Linked DNA regions of Chlamydomonas reinhardtii. Each later gene encodes a partner of the first gene's protein in a complex. Links are inferred from orthologs where the notes say so. Each region holds a gene or a part of one and is shown on either strand. Other genes may lie near its edges.

Evidence for each region. The genes of interacting proteins can lie anywhere in the genome.
Region 2: CHLRE_12g487600v5 (region 1) and CHLRE_12g498050v5 share a complex: the UniProt entries of both Arabidopsis thaliana proteins name them as parts of the CPSF complex. The link is inferred for Chlamydomonas reinhardtii from reciprocal best matches to the Arabidopsis thaliana genes CPSF100 and CPSF73-I.

Annotation. Positions count from the first base shown.
Region 1 is NC_057015.1:1,470,844-1,475,034, reverse strand, and holds the start of CHLRE_12g487600v5 (uncharacterized protein), read right to left. Parts: upstream 2,801-4,191; 5' UTR 2,560-2,800; coding exon 2,411-2,559; intron 2,145-2,410; coding exon 1,976-2,144; intron 1,440-1,975; coding exon 1,132-1,439; intron 829-1,131; coding exon 701-828; intron 426-700; coding exon 314-425; intron 133-313; coding exon 36-132; intron 1-35. Other genes in the region: CHLRE_12g487652v5 (uncharacterized protein), read right to left, coding at 3,704-3,777, 4,088-4,191. UniProt on the Arabidopsis thaliana protein: CPSF plays a key role in pre-mRNA 3'-end formation, recognizing the AAUAAA signal sequence and interacting with poly(A)polymerase and other factors to bring about cleavage and poly(A) addition. Required for antisense-RNA-mediated gene silencing.
Region 2 is NC_057015.1:3,282,623-3,286,448, forward strand, and holds the end of CHLRE_12g498050v5 (uncharacterized protein), read right to left. Parts: intron 3,607-3,826; coding exon 3,523-3,606; intron 3,257-3,522; coding exon 3,065-3,256; intron 2,770-3,064; coding exon 2,707-2,769; intron 2,498-2,706; coding exon 2,279-2,497; intron 2,079-2,278; coding exon 1,773-2,078; intron 1,539-1,772; coding exon 1,380-1,538; intron 1,169-1,379; coding exon 851-1,168; 3' UTR 501-850; downstream 1-500. UniProt on the Arabidopsis thaliana protein: Component of the cleavage and polyadenylation specificity factor (CPSF) complex that play a key role in pre-mRNA 3'-end formation, recognizing the AAUAAA signal sequence and interacting with poly(A) polymerase and other factors to bring about cleavage and poly(A) addition.

The DNA.
Region 1 (4,191 bases):
CACACACACACACACACACACACACGCACACACACCTGCACCATCTCGCTGCCCAGGTATTCGAGCTGCGTCCGCGCGAACTCCAGCACCGTCTTGATCGTGTACGACAACACCACAGGCGTGGCCGCAATCCTGTGGGTGGGTGGCGCCACGTGGGGAGTGGGAAGGGGCAGTGCCCGATCTGCGAAACTCCTGAGTCGACGAGGCGAGACCCCAACACCTTGTCGCACATATACACACACAAACACACATACATATACCTCCACATGCAAACAAGAAGTAAAGAGGTGATGACACGCGCACACACACGCACCTGGCCCGCGCGAAGTGCTCGTCCAGCAGCAGCGCCAGCTCCAACACTCGCCCCGCCGCGTCCGTGGGTATGAGCACGTTGCCCTCGCCCTCCACCGTGGCCGTGATGGCGTCTGTCACACCAAGAGGGGGGTACATTCTTGAAGAGTTAAGGAAGTGGTAGTGGGTGGGGGTTGTGAATACCAGCTCAAACTGAACCAAACGAAGCCAAACTAGCGGAGGGGGGAGCCGTATGCAAGACGGAGTGCATACATCACAGGGAGGGTTCCAGCCACCGCGACTCCCACTGCCCAAGCCATGGGCCCGCGAGCGAGCAACGAAGTAACGCCCAGCAACGCCCCAGCGTGCACACAAACGGCAAACGCGCCCGGCCATGACGCGCACGCACCCAGGAACTCCTCATCCCGCTTGTGTCGGGGCGGGGCCGGCGGCGCCAGGCCGTTCACCGCGTCGCCAATGAGCAGCGCCGGCTGCAGCGCCGCCAGTGCGGTGGTGAAAGTGGTCTCGTTCAGAAGCCTGTGGGGGGTGGGGGTGGCGGAGAGGCCGGCAGTCAACTCCAATCCCCACGTCACCGAGTCACCGGGGCCCAGAAGCCTAAGCAGCCCACAGCGGGGGAGAGGGAGTGGGCGGCGGCGCAACGCATAGGGCACCGTCATGTCAGCGTCGCATCACCGATGGCAAGGCCTCTGAGCTCCCCCCCCGGCTTTATTGCGCATGCTGCCTCCCCTTCTCTCCGTTGCTTCTACAGCTTACAGTGCATGGCGACAGACAATGCCTCCCCCCCCCTCCCCACGCGCCGCCCCCATCCCGCCGCCTCACCTCTCCTTGCGGTGGTTGAAGTCCACCGCATACACCACCTCCTGCCCACTGCCCAACAGCGTCAGCCGCCACACTGCACCGCCCGGGTAGCGGCCCGCAGGCAGTGGCGTGATGGCAATGCCGCCGCCCGCCGGCCCCTGACCCCCGCCCGCCGCCCCCGCTGCGCCCGCCTCGCCGGCTGTAGCACCGGGCGCCGCGGGCGGCAGTAGCAGGTGCTTCTGGCTGTAGCGCAGCTCGGTCCAGCGGGGGTGCAGTCGGAACCCGGCGTCCACGTCGTCTAGGTCGTATGCGGCGAAGTCCGACACGGCCTGGATACCACGATTCCCAGGGAGGGGGTAGCCGTTCATGCGGCGAATGGAGTGATTAGATAAGAGGGGGATTCCATGCATGATTGATCAAGACGCGGTGATGTTGACAGGTCGTTGCAGCAGGGGGGGAAGCATGAACAGCAAGGGAAAGGAAGGGGGCGGTAAGCTGACCGCATGGAAGGCCTTGATCGTGGGATACGAGGATGGAGACCCGTGCGCGGGATTGGACGACCACACAGTCTGTCCCGGCCTCGCCCGCAGACACAACCACCCATGCTGTCTTGACACGCTCGCACCTCCCAACCCGCCCCAGTGGCCCACACTCACCCGGACGCTCACAGGCATCGTGCAAACAAATCCCCTACAGCCATCCTGTACCTCTCCCCCAGCCCTTTCTCCCATTCTCCCACCCTCGGCAACCCCTTTATCCCGCGTTCAACATCTCTCACACTCACAGCACCCCGCTCCCCTACCCCTCTCCCCTTCCTCCCCTCTCGCCCTCCGCAACCCCCCCCCCTCCCCCTCCCCCTCCCCACCTGGTGCGCCAGGCACGCCTCGAACATGAACATCTCGCCCATGCGGCGAGTGGGCTTGGTGGAGAACACCGGCGCCGCCAGCCCGCAGCGGCCCACCAGGTAGGGCAGTGAGCCCAGGTGCGCGGGCGAGGGGTGGGACAGCAGCACCGCGTCGATGCGCGGGAGCACCCTGGTGGGGTGGTGGTGAGGGAGAGGATGAGGTGGCGGGAGAGTGCCGGGGAGCATGGGGATGGACAGGGGTGGGAGGGGGTGGCGGTGGAGGCGGAAAGGGATGCAGGCGGCGGCACACGCCGGACACAGGGACTCTTTGGGCAGAGTTCCAAAGACACGCCCCTTCCCTTGGCCCTTTCTACCCCTTCCCCACGCCCCTTCCCCCTGCCCATCCCTTCCAGTTCACCCGCCCTCCTGAAGTTCCCCTGAGCCACACATACGCACTTGAGCACTGGGTCCAGCAGCGCAACATCAAAGCTGTCGTCCCAGCCGCAGTCCAGGAGGATGGTGTAGTCGTCAATCTCTAACAGTGAGCACAGCGGCGAGTCCTCGCCAACGCCGCATAGCGGCGTGTACCTGACAACTGTCTCCATGCTTTCGCTAGGCTATAGTTCAGCGCCTCGACCTTCCCGGCGCGTCGCCCATTTCCGCGCGCTCGTGTGTTTGTATTGTCATGAGGTCTTAACGATGAATTGTCTACATTATGCTCATCTAAAGTGTGCTGGATCGCGTAAACAAGCACTGCAAGAAACCTGGCAAAACTACTTGCGCAAAAGACACAGCTCGCTGACGCAGATATGTGTTGAAATGCTTTGCTTTGAACTTGTAAGTGATGACCATCGCAATGGCCCCCGCGACAAACGTTTAGTGTGGCGCGATGGCCGGAGCGTGCCGGGTTTTCCCCTCCCTTCCCCGCCGTGTTGAAGTCGTCTCGGCCTGGCGCCGGGGCGCTGACATCTCACCGATGGCTGACATAGGTGACCGGTGTGTGCTGACATGCTCACAGGGTGGGAGTATATGACCCTCGTTTCAAGGTTACAGGACGGGATTCTTGAATCGGCGACTGCCCTCACATTGCTCGAACGCCACGCCAACAACTTCAAGCCGCTTCTTTTGTGGCATCGTGTTTTCCGTGTGGCTATCATACTAGGAGGCGCACTGAGAAGCGGCGGTAACAAACGCAACCCTGCTCCTTTCCAGCACCTCGACCATTTGGATGTGTTCGGCTGAGCGTGCCCTCAACATGAACCGCACCGGGCGCCTCCCGTCACACCTCAGGATATCGCCACTGTGCTTTTCATGCAAACCTCCACCGGAACTCAGGGCCAGTCAGGGCTACCTATAATGGCCTGCGTGCGCGCGCACTCTGCGGACACGCCCCTACGGAACTTTTTAGCTGTTGGCCTGTTGTCACCGGTAGTCGTGTGCCATGTCAAGCACCCATCGTTCCGCGCGCTCCTGCACTGCAATTGCAAGTTGTCTGCCATCTGCTGGGATCTGGAAATCAGCTGCACCCTACGGAACTTCACCAACCTGCCTTAGCACTGTTCCATCGCACACCCATCGACCACGGCCATCAACTCACTACATACGTGCCCGCATGCAGAATGCCTGGCACAGCCATACGCCATCCAGTCCCACAGCAGTTCATATGTTGCATAGAAGGCATCAGCACTTGAGCCAGCACCAGCACCCACAGCCGCCAGCGGGCAGGCCTCACAGCCGGCGAGGAGCCAGTCATGCAAGCGGGGGAGCGGCGGCGCCCGACGCCCCAGCCGGGTGCGGGTGGGGCTTCGGGCAGCGCCGCTCGCCTGGTGGGAAGGGGCAGAACGAACACCACGGACAAGGCCTGTCAGCATGCGGACGTGCTGGCATCTTAGAAATACGTGACGCGGTGACGGATGCAGGCACATGCGGACATGCCATGCACTCGTCCGGACATACCGCCACCCACGGCACTGCATTCTGGCACTGCCTGCCCTCCGGGTAGTCCCCAAGGTTCTGGTAAAGCGCCTTTTGGGCCACATAGCGTGGCCACATAGCCTTCAAGTTCCATGTGAGGACTCCGACGTAAGCGCATTCAGTGCTGCACACCGAACACACTATCCCGGGTATACCCACCCGCGCATGACTGTCTCCGCGCCGCGGGAGGTGTGCCCGCCGGCTTAGGCAGGTAGGTAGGGTGCCTTGGGCTGGCTTGCACTTTGGTACTGACACGCCGCCAG
Region 2 (3,826 bases), about 1.8 Mb from region 1:
GATAAGCCTGAGCGTGGACCGGCGTGGGGGCAATCGGCGTTGGCGTAGTGAGGAGCAGATAGGTTCTCGTGTATGCAGGCAGTGTGGCAGTGCGGCAGTCCGCACACGGGCTGTGGATGTAGGTGTGAACGCTGTGCCAACGAGACTGAAACTACGTAGGATTCGGGCTAGACCTAAGAGGACCATTCGGGGGAATAGGGGTCGGGACAGAATTTCGCAAGCGCAGGCAGGCATTTTCGCTTTCTTGCAATTCGGGTGTTAGCGGGTAGACATGGATGAGACGAATGGGGTATCTAGCGGGTAGAACTGGATTATGTGCGTATGATGGCATCACCATAGAGGCAAGAGTAGCCTCTGCAAAACTGTAGCAGGCTAGATGCACTAGTGCAGTGGAGTGAGGCATGTGATGCAAGGCAGGTGCTGCGCCCGGTTTTGGTTCGTTGCCGCCGGGGCTGGGGCCAGCGCCCGTTTGTGCTGCGACACGTTGTTACATGAGGACTGGCATTGTCTGTGTCGGTCTGCTCCTGCATTCATATGCGGTTATGCGCGGTGCCGGCGGTGGTGGGCATTACTTGCCGGTGCGGTCTGAGACTGTGTCGCCGCCTAACTGCTTACTGGACTCCCACATATACTTCAGTTCGGCGCGCAGCACTACCCCTATCCATCCTGCAGACACGGAGTCGGTCAGAAAGCAGAAGTACAGATCCCGCCAAGGAGCGTAGGACCCGCCGCCAACCAAGCGCATTCTATCCCACCTGAACGCTCGCTTGACAATCGACACCATGTACTCCGACCACATAATCTTACTCCTCCAGCAATAACCCCACAGCCCCGCTACGCCCTTGTCTTCCTAGTCATGCGGCCGGTCCAGCGGCGCGGGCCGTATCGCCGCCGCCAGCCGGTCCAGGCTCTTCTCGATGCGCGCCCGCAGCCCCGGCTCGCCGCACACCACCTTGCCCGCCCGGTAGTCCACAGCGGCCTCCACGCCGTCCACGTCCAGCCGCACCAGGCCGCCCGCCTCGTCCACCGCCGCCGGCCCGAACTGGCCGCGCAGCAGCGCGCCAATCAGGTGGAGCTCGGCGGCTGCGGCTGCGGCCTCGTCGCCGGCGGCGCGCGCCGCCAGCATGGCGGATTCGGCGCTGGTGGCCTCGGGCGGCTCGCCAATGGACTGTGTTGTAATGGGAACGGAGCGATGGGAAACTGCGGGCTCAGAGCGTGCTGGAGCAAACATGAAGTGACCCCAGATTGCAGGCGCCCTGCCCTCCATTGCCGTCCCATGCACCCGCTACATCCTCAACACCCGCCCACCACGCCTGGCACCCGGTGCCCATTCAAAAGCGCCCGCCAGCCCGCGATCGCGTCCTAGTCCGCCCCCTCACCTGCAGCACTACAGCCACCACCGCGTCCGCCACCATGTCGCCCTGCCGGCCTCCCTCCCACTCCAACACCACGTGCGACACCACGCCGCTCGCGTCGTCCGCCGGCACGTAGCGCACCGTCACCAGCTCGCCCACCACCACCGCCAGGCTCTCGCCACCCTTCACGAAGCATTGCGAAGCGGAGGACGACAAAGCGGGAGGGCAGAGTCAGTGTGAAGATGCGAGCAGGCTAGGGTGGGTACCTGAAGTACAGTCCTATTGCTCCACAGATCCACAGCTGTGTGAATGCCGCCAAACGGCATTTACGCAATCACAGCCTCACAGCCATATCTGCGCCCAGCCCCGCACCACACGCCTGCACCCACGCCTGCACCCAGCGCCACCCACACCCACCTTGCCGCCCTCCGCGTCCGGTGCCGTGGCCACGGGCAGCGTGCCGGCTCCCTCCACGCCCTCAAACATCACCTCCAGCGCCAACCGGATGGCGGTGAACGGCACGTCCACGCTGATGGCCTGGCGCTGCGTGACACTGCCCTTGAGCAGCTTGGTGTATCGCGGCAGGTCGGAGGGCGCCAGCAGCTGCGTGGCGAAGCCGCCGCCCTGCCGCACAAGCACGCCGCGCACGGCCGCGCCCTCACGCGGCGGCTTCTCGCCCAGGCGGCCCTGCAGCCGCACGCTGCGGTCGGGCTTGTGCTCCACCTGCAGCAGCGGGGCGTTGGCCGGGCGCATGCACACACATGAACAAACACATACATATTAACGAAGATGTACTAATATTGCATACATGATGAGGCCTAATACGGCCTGGTTGCTCAAATCTCGCCACACGCCCCCCCCATCACCCCCAATCCTGCCCCAGCCCCCGCCCCCAAACCACGCCCCTGCTACAGCCCACTCACCGCCACGGTCTGTGCCAGTATGGGTGTGTACACCTCGCGCGCCACCCCCGCCGCCTTGGCGCCGTCCTTGAGCGCCTTGGCCAGCTTGCGCATCTCGCCGTACTCGCCGTGCACCAGCACCACGTGCGGCGGCCGGACCGCGTCCAGGAAGCCGGACGTCTGGTCGTAGTCAGCGTGCGCGGAGAAGGAGATGTTGTGCACCGCGATGCGCAGCGGGACCTGGCGGCGGTGGACATGATTGGGGAGGCATTGCCGTTAGTACTGTGCAAGCCCGACGCCCAGGGCCGGAGCTAAGTGATGGGGCATTGGGGTCTTGCCCAGCGTTGCCGCACGCTAAGTACTGAACGAGCGCGTTGGCTAGGAGGGGGCGTTCGAGGTGGGCGGACCGGGCCCTGCCCCCGCGAGGTCTCGGGCCAGGCGGCACCCACCCTGCGGCCCTCCCGGGTGGTGATGGAGCTGGGGCCGCCCAGGATCTCCTTGGCCAGAGTGCCCTGCGGTGGAGAGGGCGGCAGCGGCGGCGGTGGTGAGCTAGGCATCGTGAGAGGTACGTATGGTACCGAATCATAAGTTATGCCGGCTGCAAGCGGCATGCCCGGAGCACCGTGACGGAAGCCTCTGTCCAGCACCCGTCCCCGTCCACTCCCTTAGGCCCTGGCACTGCACCCGCACAGACGCGCAGACGAACAAACACATAGACGTGAACGCCCCTGAGCACTACAGCGTGCACACCGACGCACGGACGCACACACACGCCCCTCCCTAAACTGACAGCCCGCCTCTCCTCACCTGCACCGCGAAGTCGCAGATGATGCAGGTGTTGCGGCTGTCCTCGCACCAGGCCTCAAAGAAGTCCCGGCTGGCGCCACTCTGCAGCCCCGAGGGCGTGGCCATGATGACGCAGGGGCCGCTGTAGTCGGAGATGAAGTGGGCGGGGTTCTTGAGCGTCTGCACATGCCGGAACTTGAAGGGGTTGCGCTCCTGAAGGGCCGCGACGGGACGCAGAGGGGCAAGGGAAAGGGGGTGGAGACATCGTTAGCGCGTGGAGCGGTCGGAGAGCGCTGGACGAGGGCAACAACTGCAACAGTAAGTACATAATGGGAAAACCGCTGCGGGGCTGTCAGCACGGGTTGGGCCAAGCCGCAGGCGCCGCATGTCGAGCTACCGGGCGCTGTCCCTCAAGGGGGCCCCAACCAGCCCCCTTGGCCCCCTTTGGCCCCGCCCCCCTTGGCCTCGCCGCTGCTCACGTGGAAGACCCTCTTGATGTCGTCGTTGAGTGACTCCACGTACGTCTGGTACACACCAAGTGCCTTGCTCATCATAGAGCTGGCCTGTGGGGCGGGTGGGTGGGGTCCATGCATACTACTTTGTACGACGATTTGGGGGGGGGGCCCGGCCGGAGAAGAGTGGAGGAGGTTCTGAAGGAGTAGGCGTTGCTACTGGGTGCGTTGTTGAGAAGCTAGGCAGCAAAGATTTAATACATGCCAGCCCTTGGGTGCCGCCAGCAGTCGGAGTGCGCATTGGTGAGCGCACAAGCGCACAAGCGCACAC